4 linked regions of the Caenorhabditis elegans genome follow. The protein of the gene in region 1 interacts with the protein of each later gene in a pairwise test. Each region holds a gene or a part of one and is shown on either strand. Other genes may lie near its edges. The genes, in order: C18B2.4, lys-1, lys-8 and cth-2.

The links.
Region 2: the proteins of C18B2.4 (region 1) and lys-1 interact in a two-hybrid assay, tested with the Caenorhabditis elegans proteins (one large-scale study listed by BioGRID).
Region 3: the proteins of C18B2.4 (region 1) and lys-8 interact in a two-hybrid assay, tested with the Caenorhabditis elegans proteins (one large-scale study listed by BioGRID).
Region 4: the proteins of C18B2.4 (region 1) and cth-2 interact in a two-hybrid assay, tested with the Caenorhabditis elegans proteins (one large-scale study listed by BioGRID).

Annotation. Positions count from the first base shown.
Region 1 is NC_003284.9:3,603,253-3,607,734, reverse strand, and holds C18B2.4 (GRAM domain-containing protein), read left to right. Parts: upstream 1-1,993; 5' UTR 1,994-2,000; coding exon 2,001-2,062; intron 2,063-2,131; coding exon 2,132-2,234; intron 2,235-2,354; coding exon 2,355-2,468; intron 2,469-2,518; coding exon 2,519-2,636; intron 2,637-2,684; coding exon 2,685-2,846; intron 2,847-2,893; coding exon 2,894-3,225; 3' UTR 3,226-3,444; downstream 3,445-4,482. Other genes in the region: C18B2.5 (G domain-containing protein), read left to right, coding at 1-103, 755-856; C18B2.3 (uncharacterized protein), read right to left, coding at 3,588-3,609, 3,655-3,758, 4,309-4,482.
Region 2 is NC_003283.11:10,275,616-10,280,002, forward strand, and holds lys-1 (Lysozyme-like protein 1), read left to right. Parts: upstream 1-2,288; 5' UTR 2,289-2,292; coding exon 2,293-2,754; intron 2,755-2,948; coding exon 2,949-3,383; 3' UTR 3,384-3,441; downstream 3,442-4,387.
Region 3 is NC_003280.10:5,584,239-5,588,813, forward strand, and holds lys-8 (LYSozyme), read left to right. Parts: upstream 1-1,939; 5' UTR 1,940-1,940; coding exon 1,941-2,191; intron 2,192-2,499; coding exon 2,500-2,776; intron 2,777-2,972; coding exon 2,973-3,305; 3' UTR 3,306-3,413; downstream 3,414-4,575. Other genes in the region: C17G10.13 (THAP-type domain-containing protein), read right to left, coding at 3,465-4,034, 4,085-4,451, 4,499-4,575.
Region 4 is NC_003280.10:7,055,684-7,060,812, forward strand, and holds cth-2 (Putative cystathionine gamma-lyase 2), read right to left. Parts: upstream 2,278-5,129; 5' UTR 2,261-2,277; coding exon 2,186-2,260; intron 2,138-2,185; coding exon 1,516-2,137; intron 1,115-1,515; coding exon 633-1,114; 3' UTR 501-632; downstream 1-500. Other genes in the region: ZK1127.3 (EAF7 family protein), read left to right, coding at 1-201, 243-365.

The sequences.
Region 1 (4,482 bases):
AGTTAACAACTCGGGATTCGCACCACTCCCAACAGGAATTTCCAAACTTCAACATAATCTCTACTGGACACACGGAACAGCTTCGTTGGAGAATCTTTTCAGAGTAAATATTATGGGTTGGGGAAGTGAAATTTAAAACTGAAAATACTAGGTGTCTCAGTCTGCGTATTTAACTCGGTTTAGTTGAAAATAACTGAAAATAGTACACTTTATTTGAAAAGTAATTTTGGCTTTCAAAAATCATCTTTCAAAAATCATCACATGAAAGCAAAGAACATAAGTATAAATTGAGGCGTCTCAAGATTATTTTTCAACCCGTCCGGGATCAAATTCAATTCAAACTTATATTGAAAAACGTATGCAGAAAAAACTGTATCTGATGAAACTTTAACATATTTTGAACTCCAACTTCAGCATAATTTTAATTTATTTCATATGTATGGGAAGGCTTTCAAATATTCAAAATAGAAAACTTTCCATGAAAACTATTCCGGTTTTTATAGTAATTATGACATAAAATTTTTCAAATGTGCTTATGAACATTTAAATAATTTTTTTAAACATATTTATATATTTTTGTTTTCGGTTTAGTTCTAAGCTTTTTTCATATCAAGTTTTTAACTCATATTAACTCACTTTTCAAAATTGTATTAATAATGTTCGAATGTGAGAGATGATATTAATTTTTGCGGTTTTGATAGGTCAGCTTATTATCTATGCTTCTGAAACTACCTTATTAAATCTTTCACTTCAGGATTTGCAAGAAACTGTCCACCCACTAGTTGCCATCCTCCGACACAACAAGGGACAAAAAGTCGAACAAGCTCCAGTGTTTGCTGATAAAGTGTTGTATTAAAAAACAATTTATTATTATTAGTATTATTATTTGTGTTTTCTGATTCAATGGTTTCAATTTAATCTCCGATCCACTCATTTTGTATTTATTGTTCGACTTAACATTTTTATCCAACGCGACTCGATAAACATTCCCTATCAATCGTTTTTTTTGTTTTTCAGCTTCATTTCTTTTCGCTAAGGAACTAATATAATTTTTGGCAGAATAATATTGTTCATTGATATTTAAATCAAAAATACAAATAATATTATAGGAAATTCTAGAAATTTCGACATATCAGTTAAGAGGAACGCTATTACAAGTGTCAAGTTTTACAAATATGATTACCTAGTGTATAAAACGAATTTCAGGAAATTTTAATTTTCAAAGTGTACAGAGAAAGCCTAGATTGATAGATACTATCACTTTCAAAAGTTCCTTAAAATTCAAAGCAAATGATGATACTCATTTTAAAGTGAATTAAAATTGTGAACATAACATTCGAACTTTTTGGAGCTTAGGCCGGATAATAATGTGTTGAACTATACAGAAACAAAAAAGAAACATTTGAATACTTTGGAGTACATCTACTTTAAAAACCAGAAAAGTTTCAAATGAATTCACCAAATTTTTAAGAGTCTTTCAAATTAACATAATAAATGTTCTCTTATTTATTTATTTTAACTTTCACCACAAATTGTTCAACAAATTAATACAACTACTTGTTTTTTTTCCAGAAATGTTTAAATACACGACCAAAATCGACTCAAAATTTTCCAAAAGTAGCTCGTTGCCTAATTACCTTTATTTCCCGGCAATTCTGCCCTTATAATAATAAACCTTCATATTCATGATTAATGGCATCGATACTCCCCTCTCTATCTAATGGCAAACACTATTTGTCTTTCGCCACTCACCACTCACTAGAGAGCCATGACTTGTGAGAGACGCAGAAAACAAGGCAATGGAAAACGCGCTCCATTGCGGGTCTCGGGGTCGTGAGTCAGTGTTGGCTACCCTCGCCGTATGAAAACGTTGCCATCACGCCATTCCATGCCGTTTTTCGTCGATTTCGTGTATTTCGCAATTCCCGATCTGCTCATTAATTCCATTTTCCTCCTTAAAAAGCAGTATTTTTGATTTTTTTTTGTTCTTCAGCAGCACCATGTCGCTCAACACGTCGCACACACCCGATGGCCAAGGCATTTTGATTTATAATGGAGAAATGTAAGTTTTTTAAATTCTTTCTCAAAACTGATTCTTTTCAAATTATGAAATAAGTTTTTATAATTTCAGGATTCTTCTCTACACAACAAATGTAAAGCTGAAGTTCGAGAAGTACAATGTTCCTGCGTTCAAGTCCACCAAGTCGGGAGCCCTCTATCTCACTTCACACAGAGTGAGTTTTAAAGTTTTTGAGTTGCAAATTTTCATTTCTGGATAGGTTTTTTTTTTCATTTTAGCTGAAAACCAAAACGTTTGATCCTAAATTTCAAATATTTCAACTTTATTTTTTCAGATAATTTTCATGAACGAGAGCAAGAAAGATGAGTTCAAATCCTTCGCGATGCCATTCAATTCAGTGCGAGATGTGAAACTTGAACAGCCACTTCTCACCCCAAACTATCTCAAGGTTTTTTTTTCAATCTTAAATGACTTGCAGTCACATTTTTAATTTTTCAGGGATGGGTTCAACCAATGCCTGGAGGCAACTTTGATGGATGTCCGGAATGGCGTTTGTCTTTCCCGAAAGGAGGATGCATCGAGTTTGGAGAGGCACTTCTTCGCGCTGCTGACATGGGTACGATTGTCTTGAATAGTTCCCATCAATGTTTTGGTTCTGTTTCAGCATCTAGAGCTCGTCCATTTGCTGCTCCACCAGCATATGGTGGAAATATGCAACAGCAATCAGGCACTACGTACTATGCTGCTCCACCGACATACTACTTGGTGCAAGGGACATACCAAGGATTCCAAGCTCCGACGAACGTTTTTCCTGAGCGCCCACCTGGTAAGATTTATGACGTAGTAATTTCTTCGAAACAAATTGTTTTCCAGCACAAAACGTCTACGTTTACGACATGCCTCCACCATACCCAGGAATCGGACAAACCACGCCGTATCCTGCCGGACAATTCCAGCCAGTCGGAACCGTCCAGTACCAGAATGTTGGGGCGTACCCTGGACAACCTCAACAGCCAGGACAATACCATCCTTATCCAACTAATCAACCACCGCAGGGAGGATTCAACGTCGGACAAGGAGCTGCTCCTCATCCTTCTACTCTTCCAGATTATAACAATATTCAACAACAATCTAGCGCTCAGCCACCAGCCTACAATGCTTACCAAGAAGCTCCACCACTTCCATCCAAAAATGGACCGTTGTAAAGTTTTAATTTATCCGCTTAAAGCTTATGAGCTTGTATTTTTCAAAAGTTCGTGGCTTTTCGACTCTTCAATCCAATGATTCCCGTCCTCGCTTTGTCCGTCTCCCCGCATGTTTATATACAACGGTGATGTTTAATTTACTGAATGAATGTAATTATTTTGATTTTATTGGAATATCAATTAAAGTATAAAACAAGAAAAAAAAGAATAACTGAACCGAGCTGCTCATCGCACTTTGTTAAACACCAAACAAAATGCGAAAACGGCGTCAAGAAGTCGTGTAGAAAGAACATATCGTGAATGTTGAATCGCGATGGAAAAATGTTGAAGTCGATGAAATGGATCAGAAGGTTTTAGAAAATTTAATAAACGCGTCCTCCAAGTCTGAATTAAGAATAATTAATTTACCAAAAACTAAAACCTCAGTACCTGTCAAATCGGCTAGAGTAAGAGTAGTTTCCACGGCTGAGAGATGACGAGAGGTTGAGCTCCTTCTCGCGACGGGAAGCCCAAGTAGCTGGTGAAAGCCAGTACTAAAATAGATTGCACTTCATTTTATTAAAAAATAATACTTGTGCAGAGTGAGTATCCAGTTGTGAGGCTTTTAATAAACCCGAATTTTGGTTTTTTTTTAAATTGAGTTTTAAAAGATTATATCTAGGCTCAAGTGTGAGTAAGAAATAAATGAGTATATACAAAACTCTAGAAAACTGGATAATACATATTTTTAGTTCAGCCAGTAATCAATTTTTGAATAATACAAAAGACAAATATGTATCGCCAAAACTAATCAAATTAATGAAAAAGAAATATTAATTTGTAATTCACTTAAAGCATGTTTTTCAATACTCCTATTGAATGAATATTGCCATCAAGCTTTATTTTTAATTTTCTAGAAACTGCAAAATACATTTTCAACTGACTGAGGATAAAAAACCGAATTATATTTTTCTTCAAAATTCAATGACTCTATGGATTTCTTAATTTATGCGGTGCCTACAAGAAACTGCTAAGATATTTAATAAACTCGAAAATGCAAGACTAATGGAGAAAATACAACAGTAGTCTAAAAAATTGCGTTACCTTCGACAACGTTCCAACTGTCATACATCTCTTCTTGTACATATCCAAGGCGTCATCAACTGGCATATATCGGACGTAGCTTCTTGCTGATGCTAGTGGTCTCTCAACACGTTTTTGGTAGTCGGGACGGGTGAAAAGAGAGGTGTTATAGGCATTGAGCTTTCCCTCCAGCCA
Region 2 (4,387 bases), on another chromosome or scaffold:
AAGAAGAGCAACAAAAAAGTAAAAGACGAATGGGACGATCAATGGAAAGAAAGAAGGAAAAGGAGAACTCGTAAAAAACGGGACGGGAAACCATCGGACACATAAAACACAGAGAAAAGGCGATGCTGAGAAGAGTTTTCGTGGAAGAAGAAAAAAGAAGACGAAGAAGAAAGAGAGCAACGGACAAAAACGGACGAATGCCCCGGAAATAATACACGAGTGCTCTGCGCCGGATGTCGACCGCTCGTTATTATGAATGCGTTTTTTCGCATCGTTGATGACATACCAACAGAGCAAAATAGGTGGACATGGGTTAAGAAAAGAGATGTACAGTTCATTAGGTTTTAATTGTTACGAAAGGGCATACATTTTCTGAAGCGACCTACAATACTAGAATTTTGAGCGTATAAAAGTCACAAAAGTCACTTAATCTCGCCTCGAACCGGCATGGTCACCTTCAATGTGAACCTTTATAGGTTTTTTGCGCATTCTGAAGGCTATAATACTGATTTCAAAAATATATGCACGTTATCATTTGTAAAAGATCGATTATTGAAACTCTCACCAAATCCATCTGCCTAGTAAGTGCAATTCATATATTTTCGAGTTTTGAGAATGCAGCTGGATTTTCATTTTGAGAGCACAAAATCCTAGGAAAGCGAATGAATGTTTGATCTCAGTATTTTTTGATTATTTTCTGTTGAGAGGTGTATTTGAAAGGGTTTAATGTTGTGCAATGTTTTTATAGCAGTTTATTTGTTTTTTAATGCCAATATTTGCTTTGTCTTCTGTAATTTATAAAACATCTATAAAAAATTGCTGATCCAGTTAAAAAGATCTTCATTATTCCTAAAACTGGGAAAAGTAAGGTACCGAAAATCTCTGATTCTTGATCTTCATTTCTAACTAGAAACCTCAAGATAGTCACCGATAAATATTCAAGTGAATTACGTTTTCTTCTTTTTTATCTAGGAATTCCCTCCGCTCAGCTATTTTAACCCTAACAGGCCACCTTACGTTTTTCTTCTTTTAATTTTCTTCGCAGGAAAACTCATTTGGATGCGAACGAGCTTCTATTTTTTCTGGGTTTGTCTTGTGATTGGCCAGGCACCGGAGCATAACTGACGAGATGTCGGTTCCAGAAAATAAGCGGAGAAAAGGAAAAAAAACGAAGAAAAGAATAGAAAAAAGGAAAGTTTGGTGAAGTGGCAAACGGGAAGAGTCCGTCAATTGTTGTCGAGAGGCGACCACATCCTTCTACTCTTCGTTTTCGAATTTTTGGAGCTTTTCGAATTGTGACAATGAAGGAATATGGATGGTGAAGAGCACAAGGGTGACCAAATATTTTATTGAAACGGAAAAAAATGGACAATGAATTTGGAATGTGGAAAAATTGGGCAATTGTTGAAGTTGTCACATGGGTTTTGATATTTGGAAGTGAAAGATCCTCTTCGTAGATTGCTAGACGTTAATCCGAAACCGACATTAAAGATGAAGCAGCCAGCCTGGAAATGATATTTCCATGAAGTAAAAGAAAGAAAATGAGAATATCTAATAAATAAAACACAAAGATCTATCGTTGTTTTTTATTCGGAATATCATGAAAAGATAAATCTAAACTTCAAATATAAATCAACCTTTGATTCTCAAATTGTCGGCAATATGGCTAACGTTGTCTGACCATGTATTGAAAATATGTAGTTCTTCGTCAACTCATGATAGAATGTTCGTCAAAACCAACAGAATAACATGTGAAAAGTGGGATGTAAATAAATTTAGTGACTCATCTAAGAAACTATCAGCAATAGCCGTTAGCGACTAGTGATATATGTCATAGCGTGCTAGTATTCTATTGACAGAATCGCATGAGTCATATTCACATTTGTAGAAGTATTTTATCAGAAACCTTCAGTTCCAACCGCTTTAAAATTCCCTGCCCAAATTGGTCGCGGAAAGAAATTTTGTTTTAAATGAAGAATGCTTCTTTTTTTGACTAATCGCATAACTAATTTTGGTAGAAATTATTTAAAAAGAGTACTTAATTTTATCATCAACTTTCCAGTTTCCAATTAATATAGTCTTGACATTTAATATTACTAACGCCCCCGAATGAATCTCTTTCACCCTACTCGTCACTTTTCTATCTCCACTGATTACCCTTATCACTGGACGTTTTCTTCTACTTAAACGAGCCGCCATCCATCACCGAATCATTAGATTTTCATTCTCTCAACCTTTTCGTTGGCACTTTTCTTCAAGTCAATATTATTTTCTGTTTTTTGTTTCAGAACCATGCTCAAGCTTGCTTTCGTTACTTTCCTTTTTGCTTTGGCTTCTGCTAGACCACAAGATGTCGACTCTAATAGAGTTGTAGCTCTTCCACAGGACAACTTCGAAGTGACTGATATTGGTTTCGAGAAGATCAAGGCCGAGCCAGCTCCGGAAGTTGTGAACAATGATGCTTCATATGCCTACGCAGTTGATATTTCTGTTCCAACAACAGTTTCTCAAATGAACTGCCTCAAGACATCCAGATATGCAGCTGTTTTCATCAGAGGTTTCACTCCATTTGGATCTGGAGCATTCGACACAACTTCAGTCACTTCTATCAGAAATGCTTATTCTGCTGGATTGGGAATTGAGGTCTACATGACTCCACAACCACTTTCTTCTCTTCAAGGATACCAACAACTTGATGCTCTTTATAACGGACTTAACGGAAATGGAATCACCATCAGATCTGTCTGGATTCAGGTTAGCTATATACAAGAAATATAAAAAACCTTGAACAATTAAAAGTTAAATTAGTTAAAATGTCATATGTGAAAAACTGGAAACAATGTACACTTAAACATTAAAATCTTCTTTCCGGAGATTATTTTTCAATTTTCAACTGATAAGAAATTTAATTCTCGACGATTATAGTCTATACACTTGAACTCTTTCAGGTTACCTCCCCAGCCAACTGGCAGAAGTCTGCAACTACTAATGTGAACTTCCTCAACAGCATTATTTCACGAGCCAAGCAATACGGACTGACTGTCGGAATCTACACCAACCAATACGACTGGAGCCAAATTACTGGAAACTGGGCAACTTTGAGCTCTGATGTTCTTCTCTGGTATTGGCATGTTCTTGGAGGTGGTGTTACTGGAGAGACTCCAGCTACTTTCGATGACTTCCGTGCATTCGGATCTTTCAAGAAGGCTTCTGTTAAGCAATTTGCTCAAGTTGAGTCTGTCTGCTCTTTGACCGTCAATCGTGATGTTTACGTTGTTGGAATCCCAGCTGCTGCTTCATCGAAAAACACTGATTTTTTCACTCAAGAGGACATCAGCAGCAACAACAAAAAGATTGTTGTTGGAGGAGTCATTGGAGTCTAAAATATTTATGTTGTGATCTCTTACCTATTTGTATTATTTCAATAAACAATCCTAGCTTTATTAAAATTTTATTTTAAAAAATACTGAAATATACCATATAACATACCAGATATATACCAGAAATTAAAATGAATGATCAGTAAAATTTTAATTGTGTCTTTTCGCATGACGATTTCACTTTATTTCTGAAGATTTTTGTGGAAATCGTTTCTATAAATATAATTTTGAAAAGTAAACATTTAAAAAGTTAAAATAGCCGTGGCATAAATGCTAATTGGCAGTGATTTCCTGTCCCTCACTAGGGAACGGTCAGAAGGTGCCCATCGGACTTGCATATGAGACCTATGCCATTCGATAGCCCATGTCTTAAAACAGTTACTCGTGAATTTTTAGCGGCAAAACTCCCGAACCAAGCTCACGGCGGGCTCTCAAAGATCTTAAAATAGCACTGTAAGGAAGAACTTTAACGATCTAACGAAGCAATTTTCCAATTTCACTTTGGTAGCTCATATCTCCGTAGATAAATTTTTTACAGAAAAGTCATCAACTGATAAGTTGTTGATTTTGTTGTAACAAACAAGTTTGTAATTAAAAGTTTTTTACCACAAAATTTTTGTTTGAGATAAAAGTGCGTGAAGTGCGGCAACTGGTGTTGTTATTTTTATGCTGCTATTCCGTTTCTAATGATTTTCTCGCAAACAAAAATTTTTTGGTAAAAAACTTTCAACTACAAACTTGTTCTTTACAACAATATCAACAACTTTTTAGTTGATGACTTTTCTGTAAAAAATTTATCTACGGAGATATGAGCTACCAAAGTGAAATTCGAAAATTGCTTCGTTAGATCGTTAAAGTTCTTCCTTACAGTGCTATTTTAAGATCTTTGAGAGCCCGCCGTGAGCTTGGTTCTGGAGTTTTGCCGCTAAAAATTCACGAGCAACCGTTTTAAGACATGCACTATCGAATGGCATTGGTCTCATATGCAAGTCCGATGGGCAGCTTCT
Region 3 (4,575 bases), on another chromosome or scaffold:
AAAAGTTTCTTTACGGTCAATATCCAAAGGTTTGTTATCAGGAATCAATATTCAAAGCTCTAGTTTCTTCAGAAGTTTTTCATAAATGTAACCATAAAGTTTCACTTTTCAGTATGTGGATATGAAGAGAGATCTGCTGAAGGTTGTCAAACAACAGAAGCCGGAAACCCAAAGTGTTCGCGATGAAAGTGCTCAAGCGATTTCGAAGTTCATCAAGGAAAAGTATGTGAATGCCAAAATATTGCATCTCGGAGAAATTCAAAGTGCTTTCGTCGAGTTGAGCGTTAGTTTTTTTTGAATATATTATTTATTTACACAAATTATCATTTCAGTTTTTCCATCGTACATCCGCTTTCACTTGGCATCAAATCGCTGAACGACAACCTCCAAAGTCTTCATATCACACCGAGAACTTCGACTTTCAACAATTCTTCACAGCACCTCCAAAAATGTAAACTTTGACGTCACCAATGATTTTTTTATGATGATTTATGATAATAAAGTGAGAGAGAAATGTGTGTGTATTCAGAAGGAAAAAACATAAGTAAATACAGGAAGAAGCTAAAAAAGAATATATATTCGTTTTTTTACGATATCATTGAATTTCTGATTTTTCAATTTTCAAAGGAACATTGGATATAGAACAAGCTATATGATATCTGGAACATCAAAATGTGGCATAATATTAAAAGTAATGAAATAGGCGGTAGGCACATAGACAGGCAGGCGGGCAGTAGGATCACGAAAGAAATACAGAACATCGACGACAGGCATGAAGGTAGACATGTGGCAGGCAAGTACGGATGGAAACTAAAATACTGAAAACCCAATGTAGGTAGGAGAGCCTAAAGAGGTCCCTGGATATAATTGAAGCCACTTTAAAGTTAAGTAAATATACGTTAACTGAAGAATTCAACAATTTGGCCAAGAATTAGTTGAAATTAATAATGGATCAAAAATCTTCAAAGTTTTTAGAAAATACCAATAATTGGCTTCAGGACTAAAATTTATCGTTTTTGTTATTTGTTCAATGAATAGACAGACACGTCACTTTTCATTATCAAATACTAAATTGATCTCGAAATGGATCTACAATTTCAGCTGTTTCAACAATTCGAATTCTTTACTCTCTGTTCCTCTGGAAATGACATCACTTCTTAAACTCGTCATCTTCGTTTTTATTCCATCCAAAGACAAATCTCGACTAATTGAATTCACATTAAAAATAGATTAATGATTTTTAAACAATTGGATTGCTCACAGGGGCTATCGTTGGATGTTAGTACAGTTTAAACAGACATGTTAAACGGTAAAAATATAGTGAAATGGGAAAAATTATGGAACAAGAAGGAGAATGTTTATTCAGCTGCAAATGGGATTTTTGTATAAAAGAATTGGTATAGTGCTGAAGGAGAATATCATACATTTTACAGTTCTAGTTTTCAAGAACTTTCAATTTTCTTCGCTGTTATGGTCAAAGTTGAACGTAAAACATATGCATAATCGCTTTGAAAATCTTACCACTATCTGTTAGTCAGAAAAAAATTGTGTTCACTTATGAACTATCAATTTAATAAAAGACAACAAATTGTCATTTACGAGAATTTGAACCTAGAAAAAATCATCAAAACGCCCACGCTCAATTACCGGTATTCCACATAATTTGTGATGTTCTTTTCATCGACATTAATGACATAAAAGTGTGTACACAGTTACTGATAACAGAGTGTGATATCATGATAATGTTTTCCGAAATTATAAATTCAGATGGACAAGCGGTACTTGCCAGCTCTTTGATAAAGACTATAAATCATGATAACCACTCCAGTTTCTTCAACATTTCGGTTTAGTATTTGATTTTTATAAAATTTGGTTTCTTATTCTTTGTTCTTTTTGTTAATAATTTTCTCTTAACTCATTCAAGTTGAACATTTTCTAGAATGCTTCTCAAATCAGTGGCTCTTTTGTCAGTACTGGCAGTACTTTGCCATTCGGCTTCAGTCTCCGTCAAGGTCCTTCCATTCGTTGACTCATCTCTTCCAGTCAAATTCAGAGAAGTCATTGCTGAGGCTGCTCCACGAGTTCCACCAAATTTGGCTTCATATGCTTTCGCTGTTGATTTGTCTGTTCCAGTTTCATTGAGCCAGCTTCAGTGCCTCAAACAAGCTGGTTATTCGGCAGTCTTTGTCCGGTAAGAATTGAAAAAGATTTTATGATTTACCTATCTATAAATTGTTATTTATAAAAAAAAGTTGAATCTTTTTTTGCCCAAGGTTGGCCCAAGTGTAAAGATATTGTCAACAGTTGAATTAAACTTGAGCTAAACCAGAACAAGTTCTGGTCATGTATTGTCACTTCAGAACCTTTTTAATATTTTTGGCCAAACTTGGGCAAACATTTGCCTGCTTTCGTTTCTGATTAATTCATTTTTCGATTCCAAACGTTCATAATTTGATGAACATTTTCTAAAACTCCATAACAATTAAATCGAATTTCCAGTGCATACAACCCAGCTGGACAAGGATCCTTCGACACCAACTCCTGCAATACTATTCAGAATGCGTATAACGCTGGACTCGGAACAGAGATCTACATGACTCCACAGCCGGCTTCAAGCAAGCAAGGATACCAACAATTGGATGAGATCTACCAAGGATTGACTGCAAGAGGAATAACAATCAGATCTGTATGGATCCAGGTCACTTCTCCAACCAACTGGCCAAGCAATGCTAATAACAATGTCAACTTTATCAACAGTATTGTGTCAAGAGCTAGAGTAAGTTTCCTGTAGAAGCTTGATTTTTTGCTCAAGGAATTGAAATACATTCAAATACGAAAACTCGAATGATTCGTATTATAGTCTAAAACATTGATTAATCTGATAAGACCTTTGGGTTAAGACGTTTTTAAACTGAACCGATTAGTTCATACTTCTGCAACAAATTTCATATCAAAATTCATATAATTTACAGCAATATGGAATGACTGTCGGAATCTACACTTCCTACTACGACTGGAACCAGATCACCAACGGATGGAGCAGCATTGGAAATGATGTTCTCCTCTGGTACTGGAATGTCCTTGGAGGTGGTGTCAATGGAGAGACCCCGGCCAGTTTTGCTGATTTCCGCGCGTTCGGATGCTGGACTACTCCATCTGTCAAACAATTCGCTCAAGTTGAGCAAGTTTGCCAGTTCACTGTCAACAGAGATGTTTATGCTGCTGGAACTATGCTCAAGGCCGCTGACGCTGTTGAAGAGGATGGAAAGATCTACGCTGGAGGATTCATTCAAGGAAGTCAATAGATTTTATCAGTTCCGAAAATAAGTGGAATTTGACTACTTATATTTTGTATCTAACTGTACCCCCAATATGTTATGAAAATCTGAAAATAAAGTTTATTACAAAAAAACAAAACACGAGAATCTAAAAACAAATAACAACAAAACAATGCGAGCTTGGCTCTAATTTTCTATATCTATTTCCGAGTCCGTTCCCTTTTCCATTTTGATATTCGTATTGTCTTCTTTGACTTCAACGAACGTGTTTCCTTCAAGCTTGAATGCCAGTACTTTCTCCTGGGAAACAACATTTGGAACAGCTGTTTTAAGAAGTCGTCCACGAGAACTGAAATCCGCTTGCGGGAAATGTTTTCGACACATGTAATTTGCAGGTTTCATTCGAAGACGTATACGGAATTGTTCTCCTAATATTGCCACCCATCTGGCAATTCGTTGCTCGGTTTTTGGAACTTGCGTCATGTATCGCTTTTCGTACACTTCCAAGCAGTAGCAGCATTGTAGTGGATGTTCCATGTTTTGGTTAATCATTGTATATGATCTATTTGGAAGACTGGGTGTGGTTTTCTTGATAATTCGAAGAATTGAAGATGAACACGAATCTTCTTCAAGTTTCTGTTTTCTCGGCTGTCGGAAACATTTAGGTAAAATTCCATTCACAGCAGTCGTGGATGAACACTCGACAGTCTCTTCAAATGGAATATCCTCTTCTTTTATTATTGGACCGGTCACAGCCTGTAATATTTTCATATTTTTCACTAGAATCAATTTTCTAAACAACTCACCCCGGCTTCTGGATGGTTTAGAACAAACATGTAAGCTGAATGAATAAGCTTATCCTCCTCAAACTGTTTTCCCATCAAATGACTCGCGAACTTTTCGACTTGAGACACTTTTCTCGGACGGGCTCGGAATATTCTTAAAGCGCCGCCCACACCGAACATATTCAAAATCGCTGTCGACGCCTCCGAATAATGGGAACTGCATGTATATACGGCTGGTTGTTTGTAGATACGAGTGCACTCTTCCACGAACAGTTTCCTCTGAAAGATTGCTGCCAAAAGAATGAATAGCTTTTCATTTTCATCGGTCATCATCGAAATATCAGCAATAGGTTTAATGGTTCGGCAAATCTGGCACAAACGATGGCTGCTGGAAAAAAAGTTTTCAAAGTCAATATTCAACGCTTTTTTAAATACATTTTGATCGGAAGCTTTCTAGTACTCGCATAATTCAATCGTGGATCATTGCTGCACGTAGGGCCGGCAGATGGTAC
Region 4 (5,129 bases), on another chromosome or scaffold:
GACCTCTTGATGGGAGGACGCCCAGAACGAACTTCATATCCGCCTAAATACTTGTGTCGTCCTTCACTTGAAATGATCGAAGATAAGCTCAAAAAATGGTTCGGTCTGAGATTCTGTGAAGAAAATGAATCGTATCCAAGCGAGTTTAATAGTGTCACCGATTACGAACTTCCCGAGTATATCATGGCTGAAGTGCGCGAGGTAATTTTGAAACAATAGATATTGCTTATTTTTGTTCATAGCTTTCAGATAAGAGAGCAGAAAGAGAAAGAAACACAGACAACGGGATCGTCGAGTCGGAAAAGAAGAGTACCATCCCCAGAAGATTGACAGAAGAAGATGAAAATTATGACATTCAAACTTAAATGATCTCTCTATGATTCCTTCTACGCTATCTAATTATAATTCAATGTGTACCTTTCTTTCATATACCAATTGCAAAATATCATGTTATGTATTCCAATTTCTGTTTCGAATAACAATTATCATTTTTCATAGAAAAAATTTATTGGATAGTGTAAGACACAATTTGAGTCGATTAGTTAGAGGTTGTGGTGGAGACGAGTGGGCAATTAAAACTAGTACCGGCTTTCAGATTTGAAACAAATGCATATCATAAAATGATTGAAAAGTTATACTTTTGGAATGGCAATCTTCAAAGCTTGATCCAAATCAGCAACCAAATCATCGAGATCTTCAATTCCAACAGAGATACGGATAAGGTTATCAGTGATTCCAAGAACAATTCGAGTTTCAGCAGGCACTGAAGCATGAGTCATGATAGATGGAAGCTCGGCAAGTGATTCATATCCTCCAAGAGATTCAGCCAAAGTGAATACTTTGAGAGCAGAAAGGAAAGCACGACTCTCTTGAAGTTCTCCTTTAAGATAGAATGAGATCATTCCAGACATTCCCTTTGTTTGTTTCTCATGAACTTCATGTTGTGGATGAGATGGAAGAGCTGGATAGAGAACTGATTCGATACGATCATTGGCTTCAAGGTATTTGGCAACAGCAAGAGCATTTTCATAGTGAGCTCTCATTCTGATGTGAAGAGTTTTGAGTCCACGATTAACAAGGAAGCAATCAAATGGAGATGGGACTGCTCCGACGGCTGAAAATAATAGCATTAAAATTTTGAGTTAACGATTAATTTAGCTATCCAATGAGATTTTAAACAGTTTTATAATTTTGCGACATTTGACTCAAGGTACATGTTCTCGATATGAGCGAAACTTTGCTTCTACAGTACCCACAAGTATTTAGCAATTTTTTTTATAGTTCCAATGTATTTTATATGATTTCTAAAGCAGAGAAACTGATTTCTTTTCTAGAAAAACACGAAGAAATTAATATTGAAATTCAGTGAAAACCGTTAAGAAAAAATTCGAAGCACTTGCGAATACAGTAGCTGCCAAGTTTCACTAGCTTCAAGACCGGTTACCGTATCTATGCCTCAAAATGACAAAATTATACGACTAGATTTCACTGCGTACAACAGCACAGTAAACTAACCAAGTTGCATGAAGAAAAGATGTTGTTGGAACTCGTCATTATCAGTGATAACAGCACCCATAACAACATCAGAATGTCCATTAATATACTTGGTAATTGAATGAACGACAACATCCGCTCCAAGAGAAATTGGGCGTTGGAAGTATGGAGACATGAAGGTATTATCAACAACTACAACAATTTCTGGATTGGCTTTCTTTGCAGTTTGGACCACTGCGGCAATATCAACAACCTTCAAAAGTGGGTTAGATGGAGATTCAAACCAAACCATCTTGGTATTTGGTTTGATTGCTTTCTCGAGATTCTGAACATCCGTCAAATCAACCGAATCGACTTCCAATCCGTGATTAGGAACAGCAACACGGCGGATATATCTTTGAGTACCTCCGTAGACATCATCAGAGCACACAATATGATCTCCGTACTTGAGAAGATTGATGATTGCGGAAGTTGCGGCAAGTCCTGAAGAGAACACTTGGCAGTGTTTTGCGTCTTCGAGAGCAGCCAGATTCTTTTGAAGAACATCACGAGTTGGGTTTCCAGCACGAGAATAATCGTGTCCCTTTGGCTCTCCTGGATTATCCTGTTTGTAGGTCGAGGACAAGCTGATTGGCGGGACCACCTGAAAAGTATCAGTTCAGTATTTATATTCAGAATACCTATGACAAACCTGATTCATATCCCATTGCTCTGGTTCTTGTCCAACGTGGATAGCAGCAGTTCCGAAGTGTGGGAAAGTAGCCATTTTAATCTTGAGACAGGCTGCAATAAGAAGACTGATGTCGAGAAATGATAATCAAATGGATTTATAAGTGTGAGAGAAAGAGGAGAGAAAAGAAAAAAGAACGAATGAAAGGGGCGGGGTCAAACGAAGGGTCGGTCGACACGCCGAAAGTTTCAATGAAATCGTTAAAGAAAAAAACGTTCTTGACATTGGTCAAAAAGACGTTAATCTTCTATTATTTTTAGATTTTACAGAATGTAGCTGATTAGGCAAACAAGATGTTAAAAACGGAAGAAAAGAAGAAAAATAAATAGTGATGTGCAAAGAAGGAATGAACAATGTTTGATACTATTGAATGATGTACACATCTGGAATAAACACTCTTATCAAATCTCCAAACGAGACCATTTTGCAGAAAAAACCGGATATGAGAAGAAGCGTGGGAAATTGAGAAATTTGAAAAATAAAAGATAAGATTAACGACTGATAGGTGGCGTATTTTTCATACTTCAAAAAATAATATGTATTTGGCACAAGTTTGGTAATAAATTTGACATTTCTGGGGATTCTGTGGTGTTTTTATATGTTGGTTAAAAACAATTTTTATTGCTCAAATATGGTTTTTTCGTGAACAGCTGAATATTTGTAAATTCTATAGTATTTTTTGAAAAGTTCGGAATTTGAATTGTATAATGTCAAGTCACATTCTACGAACCAGAATCTTAATTTTTAACATGAATTGGCCTAATACTAGTAATAGAAACATTTTAATAGAAACAGAGGTTTCTACAAAAATACATTAATCCTACAGTACCCCGACCCTATCCCTCCCTACTAATATTTGTTTTTATAGTAAAAACTTAAAAATCGTGGAAAATGTTATTTTGATCGACTTCCAAAAGGATAGAAGAGAACTAACTTAAGTAATTACAACGTTGTATAAATAATAGAAATTTCCGAAAACATTTAAGGATGTATAAAAATTTCTATATTTTAGCACCATAAGATGAGTTTTTTTGAAAATCTCCACTGGCTCTGCATACAAACTACAGTAGGCCAACAGTATCATGACAATGTATCAGCTCAAGTTCACAAAGAGTTCTTGCTGCAATTATTTTTTTTTACAAACTATGAAAGTCAGTAATCATAAATGTATTTACTAATGACGATCTTGAAACAAAAGATAACACAGTTTGACGTGACTTACTATTAGAGTTTCCAAAGTCTTGAAGGAATTTTAAATTAACTGAAATCACGTAATTGTGCAGTTTGAACACTATCTTAATGTTTATTTTGTTCCTTCGTTTAGTTGATATAATATTTATCACATGTTACAGTTTTTTTTTTCAAAAAGTTCAAATTCCAGTGCCAATCACCCCACGTGGAGGTCTACCATGTGGTATTTTGTTTGAGAAACATGTCGATGAAATCAAATCCTCAAAGCATCGATTTCTCTATGTCTCGTATCATTTTTTCGTTATCAAAAAGAGAGAAGAATTTGTCTCATTCTCTCGTTGTGTCTACTGCAAACCAGCCACATGTGTGTCTCGAGCAGTTGGACAAAGGGCACCAGAAGGAGAGAGTTCAAGTTCAAAATATCATTTGGAAGAGGCAGATAGGGATTGAATACATAGAAATGATGATAATTGTGACGTGTTTTTTAATTGGCAACCTTGGCGTGGAAAAGATAAGATTTGAGACGACATTTCATTTGCAGGAAGTCTTGAATTTGGAGGAGGAGGAAAAAGAAAGCGAAAGTTTCAATTTATTGATCAATTGCATTTTCTTCTAGATTTAGAAATAGGTAGAGTTGCTACCAGTAGGTTTACATTTTATTGCTTGTGATCAGAAAGCAGGTTTTACCAATTTGCTACTTGAATGAAAAATTAATTTTTTAAATGTATAAGTACCCATAATTTTAGATTAACTAGATTAACTAACTAGATTAATAATTTTCACCAAAGGTGTAAAAATGTGGAGTTGTTGCCGAATTTGCCAAAACATTCACTGAAGGATCTAATAAACCTCAAATAAATAATTATTTTGAAAGCTATTTTCAATTCTATCAGAACATTCTGAAGGTGACCTCGTATTCTTAAACCAACCGGAACTTGGCTGAAAATCGAAAATTTAAAATGTTTCATGTCTATACTGTCGTAAAAATTAAGCCCACCTTTTAATTTTAATAATAATAAGCAATTTATGTATTCTGGATACTAGAAAAAGTAGACAAAAAATGATTTTTTAAAGGTCTGTGAACATACTTACTTATATCATATTAAGAAGTAGAACAGCAAAAGATTATTGAAGTTTGATTCTCCGTTTTTTTCATTAAGTATGTCAACAATTGATAAGAGTTCAGTGACACATACGTCACTATCTCAAAAACATTTGTCAGCAGAAATTCAAATTTAATTTCAATTTCAAGATAACAAACCAACCTCGCCATGTGCTACTCACTTGATAAAATTATAAAATTTTTACGATTTGAAAATTAAATAGACATAGAGAGGAAAAAGGTCAGAATGGCATGTCTAGTGAATGCTCCTGCGCAAATTTATATGGACGCTGCTTTGCGTCCGCTCACCTCCCGCCCCTCAATCTGAGCGGCACGCGGCAGACAGTTGCATCAGCCGTTTGGAAGGAATGGAGAATGTTGATAGATGTGAAGAGTTAGAGATCATAATGATTGAGAGATGAAGAGAAATGATATACTTTACAAAAAACTACTGGTCGGATGGATGGGGACTTTTGAAAGTTGAAGAGCTCTTTGAAAAATAGAAAACTGAAAAAGAAAATTGATATTTGACAATTTCAAGTTCAGAATGCAGAGGACATTTAAAATTCCTAGAATTTTTGAAAATATCAGTGTAATTTTCTATTTTCAGCT